Regions from separate parts of the Mus musculus genome. Here all the other regions are reported to be linked to region 2. Evidence: microRNA targets listed by miRTarBase, many of them from high-throughput screens and not tested one by one. Region 2 holds a microRNA gene; each other region holds the end of a gene's coding sequence.

Region 1 (9,972 bases), not on the chromosome of region 2:
TGCTATTCACTAGGAATATGGCTTGTTCCAGGTGTTTTAACAATAGGAAGCGTGAAGAGAGCAAGAAAGCTGACAAAATGGGCAGACTGTCACAGAACAACGCTCCGTGAAGCGGGTGGACTCAAGACGGTTTCTAGGGAACGCTGATCTAGAGAGGCTTCCGATTCCTTCCATCCGGTCCTCTCAAAGTTTTAAGGAGCAGAAGATCCCACTGCCATTCAAAGAGTTTCCAGATACTGAAAGAAAATGAAAACCACCCTGATGTTAGCAGTGCACAGCATCCCTGCAGACAGCATCCCTGCTGCTAACCTTCACCCCACTCTGTTCCAATGTTTGGGGGAAACCCAGAACCCCCAAATCATGAACCATTACCACTCACAAAGAAACAGAATAATAACTATTAATAAAATGTTAGTAAATGAGATTAACAGTTTATACATATAAATGTGCATACACGTTAGTGATAATCAACTTTCCTCCCCCTCCCTCTCCCCCCTCTCTCATACACACATACACACATACCTACACACATACACACACACACACACACACACACACACACACACACACACCCTTGGTATTAAAATATTAATTGAAGTTAGTCATTTTGACAATCTTCTCTAGTAGGAACTCGACATAAGTTTCTAAGTATAGTAGGGCAATTTTGTGTCGCTCCTGGAAATTCGAGAATGGTCCCTCTGATTGACTTGCCCAATCATGGTGCAGGTTGCTTCTAAAAGGCAGGATGTCTTGCAAGACTGGCAATAGTGCCTTGTATTGTTTTATTTGGAGTAAATTAAACTGAGATTCACAATTCTCTGACAAAGGACCTCAGTACACCTCAGTACAGAAAAATACTTAGTTCAGTATAGGAGTGTTGAGGATTGATGATGGATCCAATGGCCATAAGAAGCTACACACCATAGAACAAGGGTCTTAATCCTCAGAGGAACTCCTGTCTAAATCCTTAAAGGAATCGTTAAAGAATGGGGGGCTGTGCCATATCTGTCGCATAACCCAGCATGCAGAGAGGGTTGGTGTATAGCCATTTGTATCATAGATTGGATACAAAGCTTGTCTTCTCTGTCCCAAATGCATACATGCATATATGAATGCCTATGCTTTTCTTATAGACTCTTTACTTCATCAAATAGAAACAGTGAGATCTAGGGGGAGATAGTCTCCTTGAAAGCTGTGTGGGAAATGAGGGAAGTACGTCTTTTTATCCTCATGTATACTCTTGATAGGGACAGAGAGAACAGTGGTTTAACATAACGGGAGTGGGTTGCTGTGAAAAAGAGCTACATTGAGCAGGACCGGAATCTTGGATACACAACACATGGCTTTTGAACTAAAGAACCCCCAAAGAGTTGGAAATTGTGGATTTGACGCTGTGCATACAATGCATTAGAAGACAAGCTGGCCCTGGTGATGTGGGCACAGGAGAGCTGATGGGCTAAACAAGTCAGCTACCACCCAGGCCCAGATCCAGGGCTTTGAGTTGGCCCACCCCAACATCTACCCGATCTGTGAACTGCTGGAGCACATGAAGGGGCTGGACCTGCAGAACCCCAGCTTCAGTATCTCCATGACACAGGGCAACAACAGGGTATCTAAGAGGATATCCCAGTGAGGATTAAGTATTGATTGTGTAGCAGAAGCCAGAGGCCTTGAACCAGACCAACGACTCATTGCAATGAATATTTGTGAGTAAAGATGTTTAGTCAATAGACTCTGTTGTATGACACACTGCAACTTCCAGTGAGATGGGTTTTTTGTTTGTTTGTTTGTTTGTTTGTTTTGTTTGGGGGAGGGGAGCTGCAGGGGCAGGGTGGATACAGAGGGTCAGGGAGATGAGTGACACTGAGGGGCATGAATGGGAAATTCACAAAGAGTCAATACAAAGTCTGTAAGGATTCCACCCTCCTCTCTTAATCCATGAGGTTCAAATGACCCTACTTTTTAGCTTGGGGGATCTAAGACTTGAGACTGAACCTATGCACGCTTCTCCAGACCTCTGAGAAGCTCAGTCACTGACAGCCAACAGTGAGATTTCTGCTGAGACCCTTAGGAGTGAATTCACTTGTGTCGGAATTGTTACATTTTACTGATGTTAACCATGACCTTGTAATTATGCATGAGTTGTACAACAGCCCCCAATGTACGCGAAGAACAATGTGAGAGAAGGCAGAGCCACCCCACAGAGAAAAAGCAGTTCTCATCTAAACCAGGTTTGGGGACCTCTGTCTGGTTCAAAGGTCATCCATTAGCCCCACAGCTCCTCCGTGGGATCACACATTCTCCAATGGGGGTGGCGGGGGGACAGATGGAAATATCCTTGAGTGTGAGAAGCAGACATAAAAATCTATACCTTAGGGATGCTGTGTACGTCTAACAGGCCACCTTGATCCCCAGTTTACTCCGTGCATTCTTCAGTTGGAACTGTTGCCAGACTGATGGATACAGAAGCTGGAAAAGGAAGCACACCTGTATGTGCTTGTGTGTATTTCAATAGGGATGTCAGTGCAGTTTGTGTGTCTGTATCACAAAGTGCTCATTGTGTGCACAGGCAGCGGCTTTGGAGGTGGGTAAGTCAAAGTCTGACACTGGGCTCTGCTAGTTTATAAGTTATGTCACCCTTGACAATTTACTCAGCCTCTCTCAGCCTCAGTTTCTTCATCTGCAAGATGGGGATCACAGCGGTAACCCCTTCTCCAGCTGCCGAAAGGAGAACAGGAAGTGACATGTATAAAGAACATCACACCCAGGCATATTATCTGGTTAAGGAGAAAACTGTTTACATCTCGTTAAAATAAACATTTTATTTAAAAATATATGCATTTTTTTAAAAAAAGACACATGCCAACTTTGGTATTTTAGCCATTGCTCCTTTGCTCTCCCAGTGAGCCACATTTCTCTCAGACTATACTGAGCAAAGGAGACCAATATGAAAACACCACCACGCAGAGGCTGAGAGAACCATGCTTGTTTCCCTGTTCTTCCCAGAACACTGCTTCGTGTTCCAGTGAGAGTTGCTCTCTCAGAAGCCCTTTGCCCTTGGACCTTTTGACAAGGTCATTGGAACAGAGCCCTTGGAGCAGTGTGGGGTTTGCTCCTTTGGAAAACATTTAAAAGAGTGTTTCTGGGTCCCCTTGCTGTGCACCTTTGCACGTGAGGCCATCTAAACCATCCAGGGGAAGTGTGGCCTCCTGATGCCCATCATGGGACCCAGAGCCCTGCAGGGGGTTACTTGTGGGGGGACCATTGATTCCTTATGATCAGAAGGGAGCTCGTTCGTGCTCATCGAATCCAGTGAATCCTAGAACAATATCCCTGCCAGGCAGCAACAAAGGTCTTCTCAAATTCCTTCCTGTCTTGAACCCATTTCCTGACAGAGTCTCCTCTCCTAGCGAGGGCCTCTGGACCCACATGACCGTGTTCTCAGCACAATGGGACTGTCTCTTCCATGTCTGTTGACGTCTCTGTCTAGGGAAGTCTCAGAAGCATCTGCCTCTGAACCTACACTACTGTCCTGTGACCCTGGAAGAAGAGACAAGCTTGTGTGCTAGTAGCTTTTCATGAAAAGAAAAAAAAAAAAAAAAGCAAAACCAAAAACTCCAGTTTCTGGAAAAATCAAGAGCCCTTTATCACTGCTAAGACAATTTGAGTGCAAAGAGCTGAGAGAGTCTCAGAGGGTCTCAGCATTCTTGCTTAGAGGAGCTGCAATCCCTCAGATGTTCAACACCCATGCTGAATCAACCCCTGAAGGTTTTGTGTGCTCTGTGGCGCTCACCAAATGGCCACGCCCTGGGTAGTACGGGTCACGAGGGAGTTTTCGGCCTTATTAGCTCTAGGAAAGCTGATTGAACATAAAATAGATAGCTTTGGAGAAGAATTGTTTTAAAAGCTTGGGGTAGATTTTAATTGTTCTTGTCCCCAGCTAATGTTTGTGAAAGGCACAGGCTGCAGGTCTATAGGACTCTTCCACTAGAAGATGTGTTGAGGCTCCTGATTGCAGAGGGAATCACTCCATTGCTCAGAATGGGTGCTGTCTTCCACTCTTGTCTTTTACTTTTTGTACTATGGCGTCATAGCTGAACCAAGAGTTTCATGGGTCAAGAAGTTGGGTCATGATTTTCTTTTCTCCTTCCTTTGCTTCCCTGCCTCCTTCCTTTCTCCTTCTCTCTCTCCTTCATTCCCTCTCTCTTCCTTCCTTGCTTCTTTCCTTCCTCTGTCCCCTCCTTCTCCTCCTCTCCCATCTGCTTACTCCCTCCTCTTCCCTCCCTCCTCTTCCTCTGTCTCCTTTCTTCTTCACTTTTCCCCCTCAACCCCATTGTCTTGATAACATTTAGGACACAGGCATAATTACTGAACCCTAGTTTACTGGAAGAACTTGCATGGGGAGAATCTGAGCTCCTTTAGATCTAGAAGGACCTGTTGTCCTGTAGCTACAGTAGGAATGGCTGCCAAAACTGAGCTTACCATGGGGATATTACAGACCTCCTAACTATGTGGTCACTTGAGGCTCTAGAAACATTGCTAAACCCAAGGGTGACCATCTCTGCACACCTCTTAGCTTGTCACATTGCCACCACAAGAGGACTTGACTGATTAATAAAAGGAACTTAAAAGCCACAATAGGAGACAGCTGAAGGCACGTATTTGATCGGTCTTCATCAATCTTCTCACAGCTACTCCAATCTGCTACCTGTGCTGTGAAGACAGGGTATATGCACATGGCCTGGGGAGATTGCAGGAGCAAGCTGAGGCCAAGTATCCAGGGGCCCATTCTAGCTGTACTGGCTTGCACTAGCAAACCAGAGCCATCTTCCCTTTCGTCTAGTGTGAAGTGTGTGTGTCAGTTTGGATACTATTTTAAAAAGTTCCCCACAGTCTAACTAAAAAACAGAGCTGTCTAACCAATCTCTCAGACAGGGATACCCAAAGGGAAAATTATCAGCACTCAGAGAAGGTCTCAGAGGCAAGACACTGTGTGGATTTGTTTTCCAAAGAAGCAAGAAGGGGATAACATACATGGTTCAGCCAAAGCCTAAAGAAAAATGTACAGAGCAGGAAGCTTCATCCAGACTCAAATGCAACATCAGCGTCGGAGGTCAAACCAGTGTTTGGAATGTGGCAATAAGGTTCCTCCCCCAGCTTCATCTTCATGCTAAGCTTTATCTCTGGATCTGTGGTTCTGATTGCATACAAACACGAGGGAAAGTGTATCACGCAGAGCCTTTCAAGCACAACGCAGATCAAGGAATGTCAGAACAAAGTTCATACTCCCTTTAGACTCTTCTGTAAGAGAAGGCCCTAGCCTTGGCAGCCACAGGATGGTGAAGCCACTCTATCCCATCACATCCAAACTCACTGCCGGGCTTTGTCCTCTCAAATCCATACTCATTGTCAGGAGGAGCTTGTTCCCCTGCAGCACGTGGCTGTGAGCATTGAGTTGGCGTCCTAAGTCATATACAGAGAGGCAACATGGAGTCTGGTTGATCAATCAGCAACTCGTAGTGACAAAAGGCTCCGCATCATTCACAGCGGACTGAGGGTCGGAGGCCCTCTGAATGCCACCTTTCAGATATGTGCACACACACATAGTTGCATACATATGTGTATGTGTGTATAGACATACTCCATAGGCACATGTATAGAACTACATGTGTGTACACATCTGTGTTTCCTTCCCTACCAGAAGATCTGGTGGCTTCCAGAGTAGCAGTCACCAAAAACACTCAGTGTTCAAACATTTTTTTTTTTTTACAAGTTGACAATGGAATGATTTCTAAATCTTTGGTTTATCAAAAAAAAAAAAAAAGTCTTCTCAAAAATTCACAACATTGTTGATTATTTTCTCTATAAGTGCACAGTGAACTTTTTTTTTTTTTTACAAAAGAATAAAACAGTGCCTTGGTGACTTAAATTAAAACAAAACAAAACAACAGCAACAGCTACTTTCTACAGCATGCAACATTGTAATACTTGAATTGGCGCCACAGCAAGCCTCTGAGAGCCTTGGCCAAACTGTATGTTGTCTTCCTCGGTCCCCAACGCCTTCACCAAACGCAGGGCAACAAGAACTCCTCAAGACTGTGGTCCTTCACACTCCTGTTGTTTACAGTGTGCAATTGTGTTCTCGTTTGGAAAACTACTGAAATATTCTCTACTATACATGGTGCCCTGATTTATCTTCACTCTGCAATGATTTCCAATTTCTCCAGAGCAATACAAACCAAAGATTGTCCATAAATCAAACAAGAATTGAAACAAAAACAAAAACAAACAAAAAAACTTTGTGACCAATGGGCCACATCCCCAGTTTCTTCCTAAAGAAATTCTTGTAAATTCTGTTTTCAGCCAATGCGCATGTGAAGAAAGAGTTTGGCAAGAGAGTTTGGACTTTTAATATTCTAAAAAAAAAAATGGCTTTAATAGGAGTATGGTAGCTTGTTAGAACTGAAACCTCTCCTTTGAGAGAAAGAGAGAGAGAGAGAGAGAGAGAGAGAATTAAAAGCAAAAGAGTCATAAAGGATTGATATCTTGAAAGAAAAGTACTGAGAGAAAGATGAACTGAGGTGAATTCCCTCTGCTCACAATAAGAAAAGAAAAATAAAAAAGAAGAAAAAGAAGCTGGCCCTGTGTGTTACTCCTGTAATAGCAATTCATGGTTATTTCTTTCTCGGAATGTTAAATGACATCGTTCTCTAATTCTAACTTGTCCCAGTACGGCTCCCTGGGCCTCCAGTTGCCTTTCTGATCATCTAGCTCTAGTCTTTGGAACTAGAGGTAGTAGTATTTGAGCGCCTCAGGAGTCTCCATCCATGGCATGAAGTTTCTGTGATTCAAGTTCTCACCTGCTATGCATTGCTGATGCACATAGAGGTGGACTACTGGCTAAAAAGCACCGTGTTCTGGGTGGATTCTCTGGACAAAGCTAGTTAGTTGTCACCAGTGATCACCAGTCCAGTGGGACCATTTGGGAGTCAAGGGACATTGAGTCACTTTTGCTTTCCTGGGAATTGATTGGTCTGTCCCTCTGACCATTCTGATTATTCTGTCTTAAGGACTCGATTGGGTGAGACAGGCCCTGCTCTTCTGACTGATGATGATGGACACACGTGTGCTGCCTCAAGCACAGGATGGCTTCCCCACACCCGCGGCAGAGGCTCTGTTCTCCTTCCACAGAAAGTTTAGTAAATTCATAACAAAAGCTAATGGGGTCAGTCTATGTCCCAGTATTGCCTGAGACAAACTGTGGGCAAAAAGAAAACCAAATAACAACACAAAAAAAAAAAAAACCAAAAAACAAACAAACAAAAAAAACCCCAAAAAAACTGGTATGAGATAAGGCAGCGAAAAAACATTTTTGGCATTCTTATTCTGACAAAGCACATTTTTGAATGCATCACTGAAGTTATTAACAGTTACTGAATGCTGGTAGATATTACATTTAGACATATTTTAATAGCTGACTTCTGTTTGTTCTGGTTAGTTGTCACAAAAACCTCCGTTGCTGTTTTTTTTTTTCCCTCCCCATTTTCCCCACTTCATCTTTTGGAACACACATTTCCGGTATCGTGCTTTCCTCCATTGAATTCCCACTGAGCTCTCGTAGCTCTTGTACCTCGGGTGTTTACCACTGCTGTAAGTGGAGATCCATAGGGGAATTCAGATTAAGATCTGTAACATCCAGAAAATCGATGTTGAAAATGCTGGGCCCACTGGAGGTAAGGTTGCTGAAGCCTGGCGTGGAACTAGGTGGAGTGAGGTCCAGCCATTCCATTGTTTCCCAAGGAGATTCCGTGAAGCTCAGCTGCAGACCACTGCTGTCCACAGAAGGAGGTGACAACTGTGCATGCATCGGGGAGAGGGGCCCAGGCAAGAGCTCGTGAGCACTGAAGAGATCTTCCGCAGCCTTCCCTGGGAAGCCATCCATGATGCTGTCAAAAGGAGGCTCCTCGCTTCCGATTTTGAGGAGGGTAACATCGCTCACCTTTCCGATGGGGCTGTGAGAATTCAATAAGACTTCCAGGTGTTCGTCACTGTCGTTGGCGTAGTGATCGAAGGCCATCTGGCCTCCCGAAGATGCCTGCTCAAAGGAAGCCGAGGGCTTCGGGGGGATGGCAGTTGGGCTGCAGGAGGACCCAGGGATCTTTGGAATTTTCTGAAGACATGAATGATCTTCCCTGGCATCGGCTGGCATTTCTGTTGGCAAAGCACAGCATGAATTGTGAAGTCACCTGAAACTGACCCTACATGATGGGTCTTTGGAATAAATGAGTTGCTCGAAGGAAAGCAGAGAAGATGACCATATGTCCCTGCTCAGCACTTAGCCCTGGGCTTGCCCCTACTTGCTCTTTCTCTCCATTTCCTTTCCTAAGGTTTCCCAAAATACCCCATGCCTTGGGACCTCTACTTTGTTATTTTCAAACTCTTCTCAGCTGGCTTCTTGGCTCCATTCCCTTCCACTAGCTGTCATTGGAGGACCTTGTATCTCTGGTATACTCTCTGTTGGGCAGTAAATGAAGGATGAGTGTCATCTCACAACTATTTTACTATTGATACACCCTTCTCATCACTCCTTGGTGTTTTTTTAGGACAGCCTGTCCCCCTACTTTAGGCCTGCTGATCACACTTCCGCTGCTTCTGGAAACAGTCCCCCAGCTCACAGCCACTCTGCCAGGCCACTGTTTCTTACTTCTTTAAGACCATAGCATCCTTAAAAATCACACATTACTCATGCTGGCTTCTCAGTTCCTTGTCCTTCCCATCTCCTCCAGTGATGCCAGCATCCCTGCTCTGTGGTATACTGTGAGCCTTGTCTTTGCATAGCACATCCTTTTAAGAGCTCTGTCATAAGCAGAATGCCCCATTCTCTGTCCTTCCCCTTTCCCCTCTCTAGCTCATGTATGGAGTATTTCCAGGGCAATTATTTCTAATGTATTCTTAGACATCTCACCCACTGGATGTTGATTGATCATTGCATCTCAGTATCTCCCGAATCACTTCTTTCTTGCTCTGGATCATATTCTCTGATCTGCTGTTGAAGTTATTTCTACCGTTTGCCCTTTCCTTCTAGATTAACAACACTCTCCACCCTGATAAGCTCCCATCTACTTTATCTTAGCCTGCCCCAATTGCATTTAATTGGTCTAATTGCATTTAATTCTACCTTACAAACTTGCATTTCTCTAGAAAACTCAACTCATTCATGACTAACTCATGGCTCTTCTTTCCTAAACTCCCCCACAGTCCCTTCTGTGTCCTCACTATTCGGCATCCTTGCCACATTCTCAGCAGAAAAGGGGGAGGAGCATCAGGTATGAACAGTCATCTTCCATGACAAAATTTAAATACACACCTGCACCTGAACCCCTCCCTTTTACCCTCTTTTATGTTAAGGTAAGAAACTCCCGTTCTCTCGGTCACTGTCTGTCTTGATGAACACACTACACTCCAGAGAAATGAGGAGTTATCCGGTGGAGAACTGAGCTCCACATGATGCCTGGCATTCCATCTATGTTAAACTTCAAATGCTGTTGATTAAGGGTTCAGCCCCGGGTTCCCATTTGACCTTCACACATGCTCCCTCGGATTCACATACGAGGCACACATTCCGTAATGTTTCTTAAATGAATAAATGACTGGGTTTAAGAACACACTGGTCGCTTTTATTTCTAAGTTGAGGAACATTTAAGCGTGAATGGAGTACCCAGCGGGAGAGATGGCTGATTGAGTTTGAGTAACGGGCAAAATCCTTTCACTATCTTCTTGTTTCCTTTTCTTTTTGTGGAATTAGAACAGCAGAAAAATGATGTAGCAACAGAGCACACTTTCGGGGAGGCAGGAATGGGTTGAAAGGAAACATGCAGAGCATCCTCAGGATAAAGGTGGCAAGGAAGCATCCACTGTGTTTCTCTCCTCTGCTAACAAAGCACACCTGAAGCCCAGAGGACCTGGTGCTAC
Region 2 (9,972 bases):
TTCAACTTCACAGTGTCCCCATAGAACCCCCATGACAGGTTCCAGGACAGCTGCCCTCTCCCCTTCTTGCAGTTAAAAATACTCTGGTTCAATGTCCGGTTTATCCTGAATCTATCCTCCCTGTGCACATGCACCTGCCCACACGTCATCTGCCCAGCACCAGTGAGGAAGCACTATTCTTAGCCCAGCCCCTGGTTTGACCTCAGGGAAAGAGACCCTAGACTTTAAATCACTTTGTAGGGGACACTCTTGGCCAGGGAAGAGCCCACAACCTCAAACCCATCACTTTGACTCTAAAGCTTCTTCAGTGCCCTCCCTGCAGGTGGACAGAGAAGGCCTGGGAGGCCCATGTGCCACCGCCTTCGTCCCTTCCCACCCGGCCTGCAGATCCGGAGATCTCTGCCCTTGAGACACGCAGCCCTGCATGTGCCTGCAGCTGCGGCTATTCTGCAGCAGCTCTGCAGCAGCCTGCACCACTCCAGCTGCTGTAGCTGCTCCCCCTCCCACACGCTCAGCAGCTCCAATCTTCCCAGGGTCACAGCCGGCCCGGGAGAACTGGAAGTGCAAAGAACACTTCCCTCCCCGGACACCAAGCAACCTCCTTAAAGAACCTTCCAAATCCAACTGTAGCTGGCCAGGTTCTGAGCCCAGGAAGAAGAACATCTGAGAACTGTCTGTACTGCCCCTTTGCTTCCCTAGCTGCCTAATAGCCATGCCTGCCCCCTTTCCAAGTGTGATTCACCCAGGACACTGGGGCTGAGGTTGGTGGCCAGGTAAGGACAGTGAACAAAACTGGGGTTCTTTATAAAGCCAGCCTCACCCTACACCCTACCTCTATTGGTCCACACCACACTCAAGTCAACCTCAGCCCAACCTCAAGGAGGGTGCCCTGGACCTGGCCATGGAGCAGGGAACAGCACTGTACTGCAGAGTGAGACCTGCAATCCAAAGTGCATGGCTGCTGAGTCAGCACAAAGCCTCACAGAAGGCTGGCTACCCATTCTGCTAAGGTGGCAGCGATTAACGCAATTGTACGCACATCCCTCCCTCCTCCTCGATAGCATCTTCGTCATTGTGCCCGGTTGCCCTGGCCCTGAATATCACTCAGGTTCCTTCCTTTTATAAAGTTACAACATTTTGGTGTTGGGGTAAGATGCAGCTCTAACAATGTTAACTGTGACTTGGATTATGGCAGACAAAATAGCCATCCTGCAGCCAACCTAACCACACCTAATAGTTTATTCTTCGATGCTTCTCTTCACATGAAGTCAACAGTTCTAAATGAGATTGCTGAGGAGCCCAGCACACAGTCTGAAGAACCTATGCCATAAAATGCTTTATCGCCCTCGAGGTACGACATTATTTATTTAGCTGGAGTCAATGTCAGAACCCCTCTTTAAAGAGGCTGGCACAATTCACTTGGCCAAAGAAGAAGAAGAAGAAGAAGAAGAAGAAGAAGAAGAAGAAGAAGAAGAAGAAGAAGAAGAAGAAGAAGAAGAAGAAGAAGAAGAAGAAGTGGAAGAGGAGGAGGAGGAAGAGGAGGAGGAAGAGGAGGAGGAAGAGGAGGAGGAAGAGGAGGAGGAAGAGGAAGAGGAAGAAAAAGAAGAAGAAGAATAAAAGAAGAAGAAGAAGAAAAAGAAGAAGAAGAAAAGAAGAGGAGGAGGTGGAGGAGAAGAGGAGGAGGAGGAGGACAAGGAGGACAAGGAGGAAGAAGATAATTGATAACTACACATGCACACATAATCTCTCACTTAGACACTCATGTGGCTTAATCCAATCTGCAGACTGCCCAGTCCTAAGTATCAGGTATAAACCATAGTATGGAACAATAAGCTTGCTACCATGATGCTTGACCCTATTGCTCCCCCGCCAGACTGCAGGACCTGTGACTCCTGTACATGCACATCTGGAAGTCGAAGAGCACCAATCAGTGCCTCCCTATTCCAGTGAACTCAATAAAGGGAGCACATGCCTTCTCACGGCTTCTGAGTCCCCAACCTGTTCCAGGTGGTGACATGTCCTCTTTGCTCCCCAGGGGCCTTATCTGGGCTCCTTTACCTCTTAGAATCCTTTGGCTACATGTCTGGGTGGTACCCAGACTAGGAAAGCCTATGTGGGGATCCCTGTCCCAACCCAGCCTGCCTCACCTCTCCTTCATGTGAAAATTCTAAGACACCATAGAAGACTGACTTGGCCAACCACATAGCATAATGGTTTGGAGTCCTGTGAAAACCCATACAGCAGACATCACAACCACACACCTTCTCAGGTATCACCAGAAACAGGTCCTCACACACCTTGGGGATGGGAGTAGACATGTACGGAAGGGGAGAAGAGGAGGGGAGGGGTGTCCAGGGGTACTCGTTTTAACTCAGCGGGCAGAGAGCACCAAGGTGATTTATAACCAAGGAGGCTGAGGCTCGCTCCCTGCAAACTCTCCAGTTTTACTGCTCCGTCAAACCTAATTCCAAAACACTAAGGCTTTTATTTAAACACCACATCCTGCAATAAAGCTTTAATGTATGACAGACATATCTAGCGGAAGACAGTGGCGTGCCCGTGGCCGCTGGCAGCTTCAGTGGCCGCACACCGGCTGTTTACCTCCCTGTGGCCGGAGCTGGAATTGAGTAGGGCATAGATGACCTTCCGGGGTCATGGAGCACTGACAGCTCTGGGACCAGTGACCAAGAGGGAGGTAGTACCAAGGGCAAGGCTGCTTTCTCGGTGCCTGTCGCACCCTCTGTGCCTGGAGACTGAGATCAGGAGAGAATTCGACTTCCAGAAGGAAGACTGAAACATTCAGGACAAACCCTTGACTATGGAGTCACCTCAAGAAAACTCAGGATGGAAGCCACCTGTGGGCTCAGATTCCTCCATGGCATTTGGTCTGAGGTTCCTCAACCTAGCTGCTTGGATCATCTGACTGCTCAAGCCCCAACATTTAAAGCTGACAGAGGGGTCCTGCCCTGCTCCCAATCCTGTTCCTACCAAAGGTCATGGTGCCGAACACAAGGGGGTACCTGCCACACACAGCCGACGGGGACAACTGACAGCTATACCCACACTTACACTCTCACATGCATGTGACAAAGAGCCCCCAGGCCTGTGGAGGAGATGCTTTGGGGGGGAGGGGTGCTGACTGCAGCTAGATCACAGGCAGCCGCTACTCTAAGACCCAGAACTGAAGCCAGGCAGATGTTAGTCACAGATAGACAGCTTTCTGCTGGACCCAGAGCCCTTTACCCTGCATCTACCTGGGCAGGACAAGCTCTGTGGGAAGGGCTTGGAAGACCCTGCCCTCCTTTCCTGGGACCCAAAGGTTGTCAACCCGGCCCCTTCTCCCGGCCAGACCAGCTGTCAGCAAAGCAGGCAGAACAGGGGTCCTAGGTCGCTAGTGGACTGCTCAGCAGAAACTTGGCTAGCCTTCCCAGGAAGAAGGTGGCTTCAGGTTGAATTTGGTGAGAGAGTGTGAAGGAATGATGCTGAGGCTCTGATGGGGGCAGCCAGGGAAGGAATGGGCCCAGGGTCGGCCGAACGAAATAACCTATTCCCCCCACCCCCCCCCCGGGGTCCCTGGATGAGCTGCTGTACCCAGGTCCCCAGAGCCAACTCCTCCATCCAGACTGGGACAGCTTCAGACCCTGGGCTCCCTTTATCTGAATCACCATGGGTGGCCAGGATAGCCATGAGTAGAGCTGACACTGAGATTGTCAGTGAGCAGATACAATCAGCACACAGTGGGCAGCAGTGTCTGCGCAGGGCTCTCCACCTCCCCTCCCCACCAGGCCCTGTGAGCCAGAGGCCAGCAGGAGACTCATCCCTCAAAAGCCTTTACCACGTGACTACCAAAGTCTCTCCCCTCCCTTCATGCCCCACCACCACCACCACCACCACCACCACCACCACCACCACCAAGCACCACCTTTTAGAACTTGCTGCCTCTCCCAGTGGTCTGAGCAGTCCCTGCCCGGTCCCCACACCCTTTCTGCTGGAGAGGCCTCCTTCAGAGCACAGCAAGGATCAGTACAACTCCATTCCCAAGCCAAGCTTCCAGACCCCCAACCCTGCTGGCCCCGCTCGGGACCCCAGGCCTGCCAGAGGGCCTCCTCCCTCTGCCGCAGTCAGCACACTGAATATTTAATGTCTGACGAGCACTTCCACCTGCTGACACAGGCAAAGTGGCAGAACAATGCCAACAGGGACAGGGACACAGCCGGTACCCTTACAGTCGGCCTCCCGAGGCCCTGCCGGTCCATCGGTCCATTGCCTTTCCCGAGCAGCCACCCACAGGGCATGGGCCACCCCTCAGTCTGGCGAGAGAGTTCCTAGCCTGAAATACATACTTCTTTACATTCCATAGCTTAGCAGGTTCATATGGGCATATAAAGAAGTATGTGTCCCAAGCAGGTAGGTTCAGTGTGCACAAGAACAGGACTCCGAGGAAGTGGCCCTCCACAAGCTGGCCCCCTTTTGGTGTCGCCTGTGTCTCAGTCTCTCTCACACATGCACACTTGGTAAAGACTGGAAGCAGACAGGGCGTGCTGAAAAGTCTCAAAACCCTTTTCATCCCCACCGTTGCTTACACCTCCCTCAACGGAATGAGTTCTTTCCCATTCTTCCCAACAGAGGGAAGTCACATCCCAGACTCTAAGAAATAGCATCCAACTCTACTAACATCTTCTCTCTCCTTCCTGCCCACCTTGTCACCACCAAGGACAGTGAGGGTGGGGTAAGGAGACAGAATTCAGGAGCAGCTCCACCCACGAGCCATCAGGGACCCGTACCCCAGACTAAGAACCAGTCACATCCTTTTCCTGGGGACTTGAACAGCCCAGCTCCCTGAGGACAGATGAAAACAAGCAGTTTTGTGAGTCTCCAGAAATGAATCAAAGGGCTTACCTGGACAGGCGATGGCTCCCCTGGCAGGACCCTGATGAATTGTTTCCCAAAATGAGAGTCCCCGAGAGAAGGTCTCAGTGCCTCTTTCTTTGAAGTGAAGAAGAAAGATAGTGATCTTGAATTCACAGTGTCTAGGGGCTACTAAGAGGTGACCTACTCCTTGGCCAGCTCTTTGGGGCTCAGTCTGGCCTGAGAGTTGATGCCAAGCCAATGAGGGAGTTTCTATTCCAGCTACCTCCTTCTTTGGTCCCCTTCCCTCTTCTCGCTTCTGTACCCTCTGTCCTCCTGGTGACCTACAGTCTCCAACGCCATCCCCTGCTATGCAGCATAACCATGTAAGATGGTCGTAAGGAACCGCTCCCATGGAAATCTGGAGGCTATTTCTGAAGGGCCCTGTCCCTCACCTAGTTCCTGATCCATCAGTCCCTGATCAATAGTAGTTTGTAGCTACACAAAGGGGCTGTCCGCCTGTTTGCTGTACCAACTTCTGAAAAAAAAAAAACAACAAAAAAAAAAAACTATAGGCTAATTTGAAAAAAAAAAAGTTCAAGGGAAATGCTTGGGAAACTTAGTTATATTTTGTCTCTCCTCTTGATTTTTGAGATCTCGCCGCAAGTGAAGTGGAGGCTCCCTTCTGCCCTACCAACTTCTACACCCAGAGTGAGGAAGAAAGGAATGTGAAAAACAGAAAGATGGGCAGGACTTCCAGGTCAGAGCCTCAGCAGCAAAAGGGAGGCTATCCTCAGACTGAGAGAAAGAAGGGGAAGAAGAAAGCAGTGGTCTGGAGGGGGGGGGAGGAAGAGGAGGAGGGAGAAAAGGAGGAAGAGACTCACATGCCTGGGGACTCACCATCACCCAAGGTGAGCCTGCAGGTAAAGTGCTGGAACCCTGGAACAGGTGTCCCTGCAGGCGGCTACCTACAGAAAGAGCTGGAGACACCCACTGCAGGAGAGGTGGTGCAGGCACAGAGGGTCTGGCTGGGCTTGGACCTGGTGTGGGGCTGCAGGGCAGTCCCAGCTCCTGAAAGAACATTCAGTTCTTCCGTGTCAGCAGGACAATGTCTGTCTCTGGCATGACCTGACCAGCCCTGTCCCTGTGTGGAAACACCCCAGAGAGCATCCAGACTCTCCCATTCCTGGGAGGGCCCTGTCTCTGCAGAGCCTGCAGCATGTAGAGGTCCCCTGGTTGTGGCAGCTGTAGCTAGGCAGGGTGGAAAGAGGATTAGGATACTGAGAGAAGCTTGTGCAGCAGGAATGAGCGAGGGACAGAAACTGTGCCCATTTCCCATGTGGTTGCTGTTAAAATTTCATTTCCACATAGCCAAGGATAAAAAGGGCAGCCAGTCCATCAGCCTCAGCTTCCAGCTTCTGGAGGTACCCCTGGTGTGACTGAGCTCCCACTTAGGCTCCCTGAGAACTCTAAGAACAAATGCCTCTCTGCCCTCTGTCCCAACTCCCAGGTGTTCATGATAGCGTCTGTATGTCAAACAGAAAGTTGGGGGGACCTGAAGAGCAGAGATTGATTCAGTCTGAGCCCACATCTTCAGGAGCTGCTCATTCAGGAATGAATGAGAGTCACTTCTCAAAAAGTTTCCCACCTTGACAGGAAAGTGGTGTCAGTCACCTCCAAGTAGACCCCTCTGGCATCTGGGGTGGGGCCTTATCCTGAGCCCCCCCCCCCCTCACACACACACACTATGAACACTAGTTCAGCCCTAGCCCCAGCCCCAGCTCCAGCCCCTGGATGCCTGACACAGCACACTTCTGATCCTGGCAGGGCTGGGAGAGCTTCAGAAATCCAGAGTCCCAGCCCATGGACGGCCTTGTCAGCGCTCCTCAGAAATCCCCCACCCGCAAGCACTCAAAGGCTTTGTGGCAAGTTCCAAGGTAAGTTTAGCCACAATCTCTGGTGTTGCCCTCAACTGGTTAATCTATTTCCTCAGCTCCCGTGCCAACCCCCTAGAACAGCGGACGCCATCCACCCTGCCCTCCACCAAGCATCCAGGGGCGCTGCTTTCTTGCAAAAAGCCGTATGTCAAAGTTCTGCATCCCGGTTGGACGCGCCCTCCCAACCCTCCCAGCCCTGCTGGCTGCTGGCTCTGCAGTTTTCCAAATGTAGATGATGCTGGGAGAAACTCCAGGCGCCCCCTTGAAGCCACGCGGCACCAGCACCCACAGCACCCACCTCACCGGAGGGCACACCCCCACCACTGCCGATAAGTTTTCAGGGGCTTTCCTAGCTGGTGGGCAGCTGAAGCAGCCAGCTGAGAGGGACTCACCAGGGAGCCCTGGGCGCCCCTCGGGCTGGGCTGGTGACCGCGGCAGCCGTGGCGGCGGGCGCAGGGTCGCGGCTCCCCGGGAGATGCTGCAGCAGCGGCAGCAGCGGTAGCCACCTCCTCCCGGAGCCAATCGCAAATGCAGGGGTGGGGGCGGGCCGGAGCTCCCATTGCGTCCGCACTTGGTGGGGAGGGGGGGGCAGAGAGAGAGAGAGAAAGAAGACACCCCGACTCCGCACCCCTGCCCTTCCCCCAGCCCTCCTGCAGCAGCGCAGACTTAGCAGCAGGGAAATCTTGAGAGAGAAGGAGGAAGGGGGGGAGAGAAAGGGGAGGGGAGGGTAAGAGAGAGAGAGAGAGAGAGAGAGAGAGAGAGAGAGAGAGAGAGAGAGAGAGAGAGAGAGAGAGAGAGAGCGCTGATGCAGAGTTAAGGAGACAGAGCCCAGCTGCACACCTTGCCCGGCCGAAGCTGCAGGAAGCTCCTGCACCCTCAGCCCTGTCGGTACCAGGTAGAGGTCAGAGCAGAACAAAAGGGAAAAAGAGAAAGGCCCCGCGGGTATGCACGCTCACACACGCACGCAGCCCCACAGACCAAGATTCATGCATGCAGGGGGAGGGGAGGGCAGAGACGGGATGGCCTGACCCAACGCTGGTGGGGCAAGGGGCCCTTGGATCAGGAGCGACCTCACCTTGGTAGTTCTTATATACCCCGCCAAACATCCCAAACACGCGGCCCGGCCAAGTGGCCCCCCTCGGGCTGTGCGCCCTGACCATATTTAGTCAAGCAGGGGAAAAAATAGCATGTCAGCTGGGCCGAGGCTGGCCAGGCAGCAGGGAACAGGGTGGGAGCCCCGGCACCATTGACAGCGGTCCTGGGTTGCCCCGTCCCCCTCCCAGCCCCTCCCTTACGAGCCTGCTACCGGCTGTCCCTGTCCGAATCCCCCTGCTATTTTTAGCAAGGCCCAGTACAGAGGTGCCTCCTACCCAGTGGGCACTGGCCTCTCTCTGAGGCGACACCAACTCATTCCTGAGTGCCCTGGGGAGACTGGAGTTACTCCAGGGAACAGGGCCCAGGGAGGGAGATGGGTGGCTCCCTGGCCTTAGTCCCCTAAAGGCCCATGTGGGCCAGGGCCTCAGTGTCTCCAGAGTGATACCTTTTTGCTCAGAAGTGGGGTTGGGTCAGGTGGCAACAGAGCCACTGGTTTTCCTGGGGATCCTAAGCCAACCCCAGGTCATGAGAATTGCAGGTCACCTTGGGCAACAGAGAAGGCCAACTCAGTTGTCCTGTCTCCTCCAGAACCTTGGCATCAAGGGTGTGTGGCTTGGAGACCCCCATATCCACAAGTACACTTGGCGATGGCTCCATTTTGTTCCCACCTGGGTTGTATAAGAAACACGGCTTGGGAACATGGCCCCACTGGGCTGGGATTCCTGAGTCCAGCAGCCTGGGATTGGCCAACTATCCCCTTTGAGCAAAGTGACATTGAGCGAGTCTCTACCACCCTGCTACTGTCAAGTACAGGCCATTGAGACGACTCTGGGACTATGGGTGGAAGCTTCAAGCTCCTCAGAAGGCATGAGTGTCCCTGTGCAGTGCATGGGCATCCAAAGACTTGCTGCTGTTTTAGAATCCACTAGAAAACCTCCTTCCTCCTGTACTCAGAGAAGTGTCCTCTCTGTACTGGCTAATCTGTCCTCACAGGAGCAAGGAGAAGCTCAGCTGGGGCTACCATGCTACCCTAGGTCCCCTGGATATTGTGATTATGTGTGGTTAGGCATGGAAGCACAAGCTCATAACCCCAACATTCAGGTGGTGGAGTTGGGGAGTATGAAGCAAGCCTGGGCTACGGTGAATATCAAGCCATCAGGAGCTACATAGCAAGGACAGGGCATGGTGGAGCTGGAGGTTTTAGCTAGAATCGTGGGGTGTTCAACTTGAGATTGGATGAGTCTTGCAATCACTATGGGTCAGCTCAGACAAACATACAGAGACATTTTCCCACTGGTGTGTGGGGTTCATACAGAGACTTACCTATATCTGGGGACTCTTTAGTTACCCACAATGAAGCAAAGCCAACCAAGATCCTCTGCTCCACCCAGTGAGTTCTCAGGGACAGGAGTTTCATGCATTTTATACCTCAGCAGGGGCCAGCCACAAAGCCTGGACAAGCCAGTCCTGTCCTCCACCCAGGAGCAGGAGTTAGAGCACCCTTGTCATGGGTTCTAACCAATAGTTCTCCCCACAAGCCCACTGGCATTGGGGCTTAGCAAGTGAATTCCTTAAAGCCAGCTTGTCCTTGTACCCACAAACACAAAGCTCTCAAGAGTGGTGTGTGCCTCTTATTTCTTCCCCCAGGAAACAGGACAGAGGAGACACTTCTCCCATCCAACTGTTTATCTTCACTCCCACCCTGAGCAGTCCATGCCAATGATGCCACTGCAAAATGCAAGCAGCTCCTTCAACAGTGAGATCTTACTAAGCCTGGGCAACTGCTCCCCTAGGCACATGTCTGAGAGGCCCCTGCAGTGGCATCTGTGGTATAAACAGCACAACCCAGATGCTACCCACTAGTGACCAGGGAACCATGCACGGCACATTGACAGGATGGAATATTATCTGGTGATAAAATCTAAAGCACTGCTACATGCCATGACTCTTGAAACTATGATGTGGAGTCAACACCAGGGGCCACACGCTGAGTGTGCTCGATGTGAAACTCCCAGAGTAGAAAGATTCAGGAGTGGGAGAGGAGGGGATGACTCATGAGAAGTGGGTCTCCTGGAGGTGATGAGATGATCCA
Region 3 (9,972 bases), not on the chromosome of region 2:
CTGCCTTGATTCTAAGCCCGTGCTGTTGAAAATTTGCACATTGAACATGGACCCACTTGTACATAGAATTATTTCTTCAATCAAGTGTGACTCTAAGTATCATGTACATTTGCAGGCTCCGACCACCTTTGTAATAACGGATGTCATCACTGTTGCTAGGATACCACATTCCTCGTTTGAGTGTACAGATGAACAAGTCTTTTAATTCTCACCTTACATGAAAAGGTTAGCTGAGATACAATGTGTGTTATATTAACCATATCATGTTTAAGTTATTAGGTTCAGAGTATTTGTAACTTATTGTTATTCGGCATGCCATATGGCTTAGGGTATTTGAATAATCATATATTTACCATTAAAACTGTGATTTAAAGTATTGCTAATGAAGTCTTAGCACTTTGGGTATTTTAATTGTTCTTATGGGTAGCAGTAGATGATTCAGTGTTGTTGGGAAGTTGTTTCCCAGATGTACTGAGTGGGGTTTTTGTTCTGGTCTTTTGTTTTTTGTTTTTTGTTTTATTTGGTGAGTGGTCCAGAGCTCTGAGCTACTTTTCTAGACATTTGAAACTTCCTTCCAGGTGCTTTGTGCTGATTGTGTGTCAAAATTTTATCTGCCACTGTAGGCAACAGATAAGTAAGTAGTTAATTTGTCTCCAGCACCACACAAGGCATTTTCTATTTATTGTGCATATTCACTTTCAATAATATTCTGAACTGATTTTTTTTTAAAAACCACAAATCAGTAGAAAGGCTGAAGTCATGACTTAATAAAGTTAAATTGTTTATTTTTGTATAGTGACCTTGGTTATTTAAATCTTTTTGTTTTTTATTTGGTTTTCATGATAAGGTCTTTCTGTGTAATATCCCTGGCTGCCCTGGAACTCACTCTGTAGACCAGGCTGGCCTCTAACTCACAGAGATCCTCCTGCCTCTGCCTCTCTGCTGGGATGAAAGCATAGCTGCTATCACCACCACTGGCTGTTATTTTAATCTTTTCTGTATAGTTTTCATGTCTATTTGGACGGATGGTCTAGTGTGCTTCCCTGTTACTAATGAGCAAAAGCACTTGTGAGGAGTATGTTTATTTCAGCTTTCAGTTCACCACTTATCACAGAGGGAAGCCAGGGCAGGAGCTAAAGCAGAGACTAGGAGAATGGGCCTTCTGGCTTGTTCCCTGTCTGGTGTTCAGTTAGTTTCTTTTACACTGCAGACCCACCTGCTCAGGCATGGCATAGGCCACAGTAGCTTGTCAGGATGTCTCGCAGACACACCCCAGGTCAGTCAGATGACAGCAAGTTTCTGACTAATACTACCCCATCCCAGGTGACTAGGTGACAGGTGACTAGGTATGTGTGGCATTGACAGCTTCAGCAACCGAAACAATAAAAGTGCAATACTATAGAATATCATGTCTTACAAATACTTTCCTGGATGCAATATTCATCCCCAATTTGATCCTCAGCACTGCCAGAACAAGGGGAAAACCTTCCATAGAGACAGAGAAATCTGAACTGAACACATTCTTTACTCAGTATTCTCTCCCTTCCTTTCACTCTGCAACCAAATCACCTCTGCATACTAAACTTCCAGCCACAGTGCTTTCAGCTATAATTGGTGCTTGTGGGAATTTGCTCTAGTCTCTGCTCAGTCACTCCCTCCCAGGCACTGGCTGTGTGGTTTTGAGGAGCTCACACTGGTCTGCTCACATGGACTTGAGTTGTGCTTTTAACAAGTGAAACAGGATCTCCCACTTGTAGGTAAGGCACACACGGCCAGAGCAAAGTGACCTGTGTATAATTGTGTCCCTTGCATTTGATTTGAGCTTTGGTATTTGATCTAGTGTTAATGGGATGTCATTAACCCAGGCTGGCCTGGAACTCACGATGTGGCACGGGAGATGCTCTCATTACTGAGGCTCTTGGTCAGCTTCCCAAATGCTAACACTAAATTTGAGCTACCATGTGTGCATATGGTGGTCTGTTGTTGACCCTGGGTGTCTTCCTTGATGGCTCTTCATGCTATTGTAGCAGTCTCTTTTTTTTTTTCCATTTTTTATTAGGTATTTAGCTCATTTACATTTCCAATGCTATACCAAAAGTCCTCCATACCCACCCACCCCCACTCCCCTACACACCCACTCCCCCTTTTTGGCCCTGGCGTTCCCCTGTACTGGGGCATATAAAGTTTGCGTGTCCAATGGGCCTCTCTTTCCAATGATGGCCGACTAGGCCATCTTTTGATACATATGCAGCTAGAGTCAAGAGCTCCGGGGTACTGGTTAGTTCATAATGTTGTTCCACCTATAGGGTTGCAGATCCCTTTAGCTCCTTGGGTTCTTTCTCTAGCTCCTCCATTGGGAGCCCTGTGATCCATCCATTAGCTGACTGTGAGCATCCACTTCTGTGTTTGCTAGGCCCCGGCATAGTCTCACAAGAGACAGCTACATCTGGGTCCTTTCGATAAAATTGTAGCAGTCTCTTGCTGAACCCGGAGCCCACTGATTCTGGCTAGTGGAGCTATATGGGATGCCCAGGGATATCTGTCTCTGCCTCTCAAGTGCTGGGATTCCAGATGTTGCCATCTCTGTCTGACTTTTTACATGGATGCCAGAGATCCAAAAAATACTGGTCCTCATGCATGTACAGCCAGCACTTTATCCTTTGAGCCATCTCCTTGCCCTGGGAGCGCAGGGTAGGAGCATAATCCTGATACTCTATCCTACTCTAATTTGCTAAATAGGCTGCTGTCAAATTGCCTTCTACGGAGTTATGTTTACTTGTGGATTTGTGCCACTTTTCGTCAGAGTATCTTCTTTGTGCCATGAGTGGTAGTTAATACAGAGATTTATATGTTAGACTTCTGAGAGTGGCTCAAGTGTTTTATGCTAAGTGAGACCTCTACATTACCCTCTAAGGGCTCAGGGGACATTTTGTGTGAAAGAGTAGAAAGACTATGAACTAGGAGATAAGAGTGCTGGAGGAACATCTGGACAAGACATGGCCTCTGCACTCAGGAACTCATAGCTGTACAAGGTGGAGGAAATCCACATTCCATCACGGATGGATGGGGGAGGGGCTCCTGAGCGCCAACCCCTTCCTAACAGACTATTCCTAACAGACTATTGGCAGTTAATGCTTGCTGAGGAGGGAGGGAGAGGGTGTCATTTTTTTCACTGTGTACTCACTGGTACATTACTCATGATCCAGTAAAAAATAAAAATAAAAACTCCTCAAGTCATGCTCATACAAGCAACCTTAAACTTTGGGTCATCAAAACAAACAAACAAACAACCCAGAACAACTTGTATAGAAGATTCCCATGTGTAAAATTGTCCCAAAAAGAAAAAAGGCAGAGGAATCCTGGAAAGACCAGTGTGTCATGTACACACATCTTGTCCCAGTCTTCCTGCACTGCGAACTGTTCTTAATTCTTAATTAATTCACTTTTCTTTTTAGGAGTCTGTGCCTTGGAAATGCCTTCATTACCTAATGTGTGAGGGCTGCTGATGTGTGATAAGCATTCAGTAAATATAAAGTGAATCTAAATCAAGTTTTTATGTTTTCCAGGTTATATCTATATATAACCCTGAACTCACTATGTATTTTAGGATGACCTTGAACTCCTGGTCATCCTGCCCTTGCCTCAGTGCTGGGATTATAGGTCTGAACCACACACCTGATTTATGCAGCAGAGGGTGCAGGGCATGCCATTCTGCCAATAGAGTTAAAGGAATTCTAATCAGCACTTGAGAGGAAGATCTAACCAGCGAGGGCTACATATAAGACACTCAAAAAGGAAAAAAAAAATGTCATCATAAATTAAAACTAAGTTGCAAGTCCACCTCCCCACTCTCTGGGGCCTCCAGTTTCTCAAAGGTTAGGCCCATCTTCTCTCACTGAGGCCAGACTAGGCAGTCCTCTGCTGTATATGTGTTGGGGACCTGGGACCAGCTTGTGAATGCCGCCTGGTTGGTGGCTCAGTGTCTGAGATCTCAGAGGTCCAGGTTAGTTGAGACTGCTCATCTTGGGGCCATTCTTTTATTCAACCCACCAGTTACTATTTCACCTTGTGCTTAGTGAAAGAAAGACTGCCTCTGTAGGGCAATTTCTATACCTTTCTGTGCATTGCAGATAGTTTCCCATTGACTTAGATAAAAGCAGTTGGCTCCCAGTTTGAGATGAAGTGTAAGGTGAAATCATGAGGCGTTTCAGACAGTTGTATCCAATCAGGACGTTGAGAGTGATAAAACACAAGGTCAACTGGCTTTCCCCTTTTGATAATGCCTAGGACCCAAGCGCAGGGATGGTTCTACAATGTCAGGGTGGGTGGTTCTCTTTGATAACCTAATCAAGAAAAGACCACAATGCATGCTGAGAGGTTTGTCTCCTAGTTGGTTGTAATGCCCTTCAAGTTGGTTTTCTGTTGTTTTTTTTTTTTTTCATTTTTCTCTCCTAGACAAGATTTCCCTGTGTAACCCTGACTGTCCTGAAACTCAATTTGTAGACCAAGCTGGTCTCAAAACTCAGAGATCTGGCTTCTACTACCCCCTGGGTACTAGGATTAAAGGCATGTGTCACCACTGGCTTTTTTTTATTTCATGTTAATATTAACCATCATCATGGGAGAGTCCAACCTCAGTTCAAGGCAAGGTTTCAAGACTGATTTCTCTGTAGCTCTGGCTGTCCTGGGATTCACTGACTTCAAACTCAAGAGATCTGCCTCCTCAGTGCTGGGATGGAAGGCATACCTCACCATATCCAGCTAAAAATAAACTTTTAAAAGTTTAATAATAAAAATTAAAGCTGGGCTGGTGAGATGGCTTAGTGGGTAAGAGCACTGCTCTTCCGAAGGTCCAGAGTTCAAATCCCGGCAACCACATGGTGGCTCACAACCATCCGTAATGAGATCTGACTCCCTCTTCTGGAGTGTCTGAAGACAGCTACAGTGTACTTACATATAATAAATAAATCTTAAAAAAAAAATTAAGGCTAGGCAATACTGGCACACATATTCAATCCCAGTATTTGGGAAACAGCATGGTCTACAGTCACCAGGATAGCAAGGAGTGGGGGCGGGAACCAATCAAAATGCCCTTAAGCACTTCCTGTTACTTCCAGGTTGACTTAGACCAGACTACCTGCAGCTATGAGATCAGGCCAGGCAGTTACTTTGGAAGGGTTTCGGACCCACTCACATTTCCCTGGGGTCTCTGCCAGTGGAAACACTCCATTGCATTTTTTCAGACAAAGCAGTGTACATCAAGGTTCCTTTCCTCTTGGTTACTCATTTTTGAAGTAGATGCAAGTACATTTCCACAGCTAAACTAACTAAAGAACTAGTGTTTGCTCCCCCTTTTCATTTCTGGCTTATTTGTTCTATTCTGGAAATTTCCATCCTTTACTCAAATAAACCCTTTGTGGAATTACAACCAGCTTTTGCTTTCACAGAATGGCCAACTGACTTCAGACTATTTCTGGTGCTCTGCATCCTGCTATCTGGCCCTCTTGTTTCTTTTACACCAAGAAATGAATAATCTTCACTCTTTGAGGGTAAAGTGAGGGTTGGGGGATTAAACCTCATAGTGCTTATTTGCTTGGCTAGATCTCTGGTAATTCTAGACTCACTTAAAAATTCAAGTACTGAAGACTGGTTAAAATGTTAAGTTGCTCATTAAGTCTTTTTACTATGGCATAAACTTCAAAATGGTAAGGAAAGACTAAACTCCTTTATGATCACTTATGATACTCTCCAAATCAGTCAAGCTAACCAGTGTTGTGCCTTCTGTAAAACCTCACGAAGCAATAATCCTATCTCCAAGGAAAAGCAAGAGACTACAGACTATAGGTGGACTGTTTCTATATACCCAACTGTGCTCCTCTGATTGGCTTTCATTTCTCCCATCAAGACCATGGAAAGGGTAACACAACCAGAAACTTTAAACAAAATTTTATTACACAAAGGTTGTCACATAATTGGATACTTCTCTACTTTGTACACAATCATTCCCACCCTCCACAGAAAGGCTGCTTCTGAACTCTCATGTGGTGACACAGCGCTACAGTCCTGATGCTCACAGAACAGTAGAGATGCCTCAGTGATTTAAGTTGAAAGCAGGACACTGGTATATGGCTCTTGCACCCAGCATCAGGAATGTACAAATGTCTTTATTCAAAAATACAAAATAAATTATCTGTAGGCATGGACAATGACAGCAGTAAACCATTATATATCGTCAAAGGAAACCAGTAACTGATGATTACAGTGGTCAGCCAGCCTTCTCTTCAGTCATTTTCTCCAGGTGACTTCTCTGAAGTTATTGGTGAGGAACCTGCCTTGAGCTTCCTGTCACAGTTCATTGATAAGGGCAAAGCACTACTCTAGGAGTTAGAACATGCCGCCTCCCATACCCCCTCCCATGCCACCCATTGCACCCATTCCAGGGTCCTTCTCTTCTTTAGGAATTTCTGTCACTACAGCTTCGGCTGTAGTTAGCAAGGAGGCCACCCCAGCAGCATCCAGTAAGGCAGTTCTCACAACCTAGAAAAAATTTTAGTAAAATAATTTATGAATAAAAACCATGCAGAGAGCAAGACATCCAGTGTGTATGAAATGCTGAATCACTTACCTTTGTTGGATCAATGATCCCTTTTTCCACCATGTTCACAAAATCTCCAAGCATGGCGTCATAACCAACTTCTGAGGAACTCTGCAGAATTTTCTCAACTATCAAAGATCCTTCAACACCTGCATTCTTAGCAATCGTCATTGCAGGAATTTTAAGTGCTCTTTTAATAATTTCTATACCTATAAAACAAACACATTTTTACAAATTTGCTTTGTCTTCTCTTTCTGGGGAGCCAGAGGACTTAGTTTAATCCTTAGCACCAATGTAACTCCAGGTCCAGGCTACCTAATGCTCCCTTCTGGCCCAGAGAATACTGTAAATGCATAGCACACAAGACATGAAGGCAAAATGCACCCCCCAACACACACAAAATAATTAAAAAGAAAACAAGAGTTTAGTAAATGAGAAGACTTATCCAATCCTACCATAGGTGAAATAATTCCCCCTGTAAAATGTGTTACATTGCTAATCAACAATACTTTTCAATAAGAATGAGGCCACAAACTCATTTGAAAGATGATCTTTACCTATTTTCTGGTCTTCATTAGCAGGCTTTAATGAATCCAAGGCTGGGATGCACCGAAGCAGAGCGCAGCCCCCTCCTAGAACAATGCCTTCTTCAACAGCTGCTCTTGTAGCATTGAGAGCATCAGTAACTCTGTCTTTTTTCTCATTCACTTCAACATCACTTGTTCCTCCAACCTAGAGATTAAGAAATTCCAGTTAGCATGACCTTTCCCATTCAATGACCACCTAAAGCCACCTAGAATGCAGACATAAGCTGGGTACAGCATCATGTAAGTCATGACCCCTGCAGTTGAGAGGCTAAAGCAGGTGGGTTACACCAACTGAGGCCAGCTAGGGCTACAGCAGAGTTCAAAACAAAAGCAACAACAAAAGAAGCAACTCTAGAATAACATATATATTATAATGTGTCCCACTGACAAAATCCTGAACCTCCCCACACAAGCTGTACTGCTGTGTGAGAAAAGGATACTAGCCAAACAGCAGTGCACATGCCTTAAATCCCAGCACTTGGGAGGCAAAGGCAGATGGATTTTCAGTTCAAGGATAGCCTGGTCTACTAATTGAGTTCTAGGACTGAAAATCCTGTCTATAGAGTGAACAGAATGAGTTCCAGGACAGTCAGGGTTACACAGAGAAAAAGGAAAGAGAAAAGAGCGAGACTGGGAAATTGGGTAGGGGTAGACTGCACAACACAGCACAAGAACGGTTTCATACTCATGCATAATACCAGTAGGGGATAGATGCCTATTTATGGCTCAGAAGGCATTGGGATATAACCCAAATGGGCCAAAGGTCTTGCTTGCCCTGCAAGCCAATGGCCTGAGTATTCCTGGAATCACAGTGGAAAGGTAGATGACCAACTGCTGGTAGTTGCCCCCGATTGCTACATGTACTCTATGGAAAGTTTGGTCATATGCACACTCAAAAAACAAAACAAACTAAAAATTCTGGGAAAGGAGATATTCATTTAGTTACTATTGGTAAATACCACAGAACCAGTATCACGATACTCAGCCTAAAATGTTTACCGGCAAGTCAGTCTTACCTTCAACACAGCTACTCCATCTGAAAGTTTAGCAAGTCGCTCGTTCAGCTTTTCTTTTTCATATTCACTAGTTGTGATGTCTAGCTGCTCAGTGATTTCTTGAATACGTTTTTCAATGTGAGCTTTGTCACCTTTTCCTTTCAAAAGCATGGCATCATCTTTGGTGACAATGACCTCCCCAACTTTTCCTAAGTCATGAGCTTGAACATCTTCAAGATTTAGATTCAACCCCTCTTCTCCAAACACCTATAAAAGCAGTGTGCTATTAGTGGCTTCCATTATACCAGGCTTATTACTATATGTCACAGATATTTTGTAAGAAGAAACAGCTTTTCAGGGCTAGCAAGATGTCTCAGCAGTCAAGAGCACTGGAAGGCTATTCTGCTCTTCCAGGTGTCCTGAGTTCAAGTTGCAACATGGCAGCTTGCAACTGTCTATAAACTGCAGTCCTATGGGACTGGATGGACGCCTTCTGGTATGCATACACCATACAAACAGGCAGACAAAACATCCATATACATAAAGCTTAAAATATCCAGAAAAAGAAATGCTGTTTTTCTTTGAGATGTCAAGACCACTGGTATACCAGAACAAAATCACTTAAAGTTTTGAGAAGAATGTTTAACTATGTCCATTCTCACGCCAGGCTCAGCAAGTTAGAAACATGACCTTAATCCAATACCTGTGTACCAAGCAAAAAAATAGCAAGCCAGGCGTGGTGGCGCACGCCTTTAATCCCAGCACTCGGGAGGCAGAGGCAGGTGGATTTCTGAGTTCTTGGCCAGCCTGGTCTACAAAGTGAGTTCCAGGACAGCCAGGGCTATACAGAGAAACCCTGTCTCCAAAAACCCAAATAAATAAATAAATAAATTACTTAGCAACAGTCCTATCTATTTATGAAGTATACATTGTATTTGCAGCCTGGAAGCATAGACATCACTAAGCAAAGCAGTATGACAAGATTTACTTACTGCACCACCAGTAGCAATAGCCATATCTTTAAGCTGGTTCTTCCTATTGTCCCCAAATCCTGGAGCTTTGACTGCCACAACCTGAAGACCAACTTTTAGCCTGTAAAGAACATTTAACTGTGTAAGATGTAAACTGAAGGGGGAGTTGGGAGAAAGCATCTAATTTAGTTCCTGGTAAGTTCTAGTACTATATACAACTATTAGTACTATATAACTCTATCCCAATCCTACTCTTTTCCCACAACTCCTGGTCTGAAAAAAGACAAGATGGGGACCTCTACTCATCAAATCTTGTTCCAAGCAGATCCCCTTCTTAAACAAATGCTGCCCTTATATTGCAGACACAGTTGTGAGTCAGTACTAACCATACCAGTGTTAAAAGACACGTATAGTTCTCTCTGGGAGGCTGTGGGAAGCAGCGGCTCAGGGATTATGCACATTTGAGACCGCTTTAAGATGGACTCATAATGCATAGAGCACTATATCATACACTACACCTCTAAGACACACAAGCAAAACAGGGAATTAATTTTAAAAAGCAACAGCATTCACCTTCTACCTAAAAACATAACAACCCAATCTATTACCTGTTCAAAACCAGCGTGCTTAGAGCTTCTCCGTCAACGTCTTCGGCGATTATGACCAATGGCTTCCGATGAGCATTAGCAATTTCAAGAGCAGGGACAATGGACTGAACACTGGAAATTTTCTTTTCACTCAACAAGACATAGGCATCTTGGAATTCACACTTTTGACCTGTAAATACAGAGAGCAGTAAAACCAAATTCTAACAGTACTGAGAA

Evidence for each region. The annotated mature microRNA mmu-miR-1a-3p reads UGGAAUGUAAAGAAGUAUGUAU and lies in region 2 at 4,336-4,357, opposite strand. An mRNA with a match to its seed (bases 2 to 7 or 8) in the 3' UTR can be bound and repressed. Matches are read on the target gene's strand: a 7mer-m8 pairs with bases 2 to 8, a 7mer-A1 pairs with bases 2 to 7 and ends in A, and an 8mer does both.
Region 1: miRTarBase lists Myocd as a target of mmu-miR-1a-3p. Seed matches in the 3' UTR shown: 7mer-m8 at 6,688-6,694 and 7mer-A1 at 5,781-5,787.
Region 3: miRTarBase lists Hspd1 as a target of mmu-miR-1a-3p. Seed matches in the 3' UTR shown: 7mer-m8 at 6,148-6,154.

The regions. Positions count from the first base shown.
Region 1 is chr11:65,170,806-65,180,777 of GRCm38, forward strand. It overlaps Myocd (myocardin), which reads right to left. Exons shown (of 13, transcript NM_146386.3): 13 at 5,756-8,211. The coding sequence ends at 7,640. Among named protein-coding and RNA genes, the nearest start is that of Arhgap44, 13 kb to the left of the region's middle.
Region 2 is chr2:180,383,481-180,393,452 of GRCm38, reverse strand. It overlaps Mir1a-1 (microRNA 1a-1), which reads right to left and starts at 4,405; the gene lies at 4,329-4,405. B230312C02Rik (RIKEN cDNA B230312C02 gene) reads left to right here and starts at 7,568. Exons shown (of 7, transcript NR_040745.1): 1 at 7,568-7,680. Mir1a-1hg (Mir1a-1 and Mir133a-2 host gene) reads right to left here and starts at 7,849. Exons shown (of 4, transcript NR_045331.1): 1 at 7,178-7,849; 2 at 5,749-5,919; 3 at 4,900-4,986.
Region 3 is chr1:55,071,904-55,081,875 of GRCm38, forward strand. Hspd1 (heat shock protein 1 (chaperonin)) reads right to left here. Exons shown (of 12, transcript NM_010477.4): 7 at 9,757-9,925; 8 at 9,170-9,269; 9 at 8,199-8,444; 10 at 7,153-7,327; 11 at 6,626-6,804; 12 at 5,931-6,537. The coding sequence ends at 6,385. Coq10b (coenzyme Q10B) reads left to right here. Exons shown (of 5, transcript NM_001039710.1): 5 at 1-799. Among named protein-coding and RNA genes, the nearest start is that of Hspd1, 11 kb to the right of the region's middle.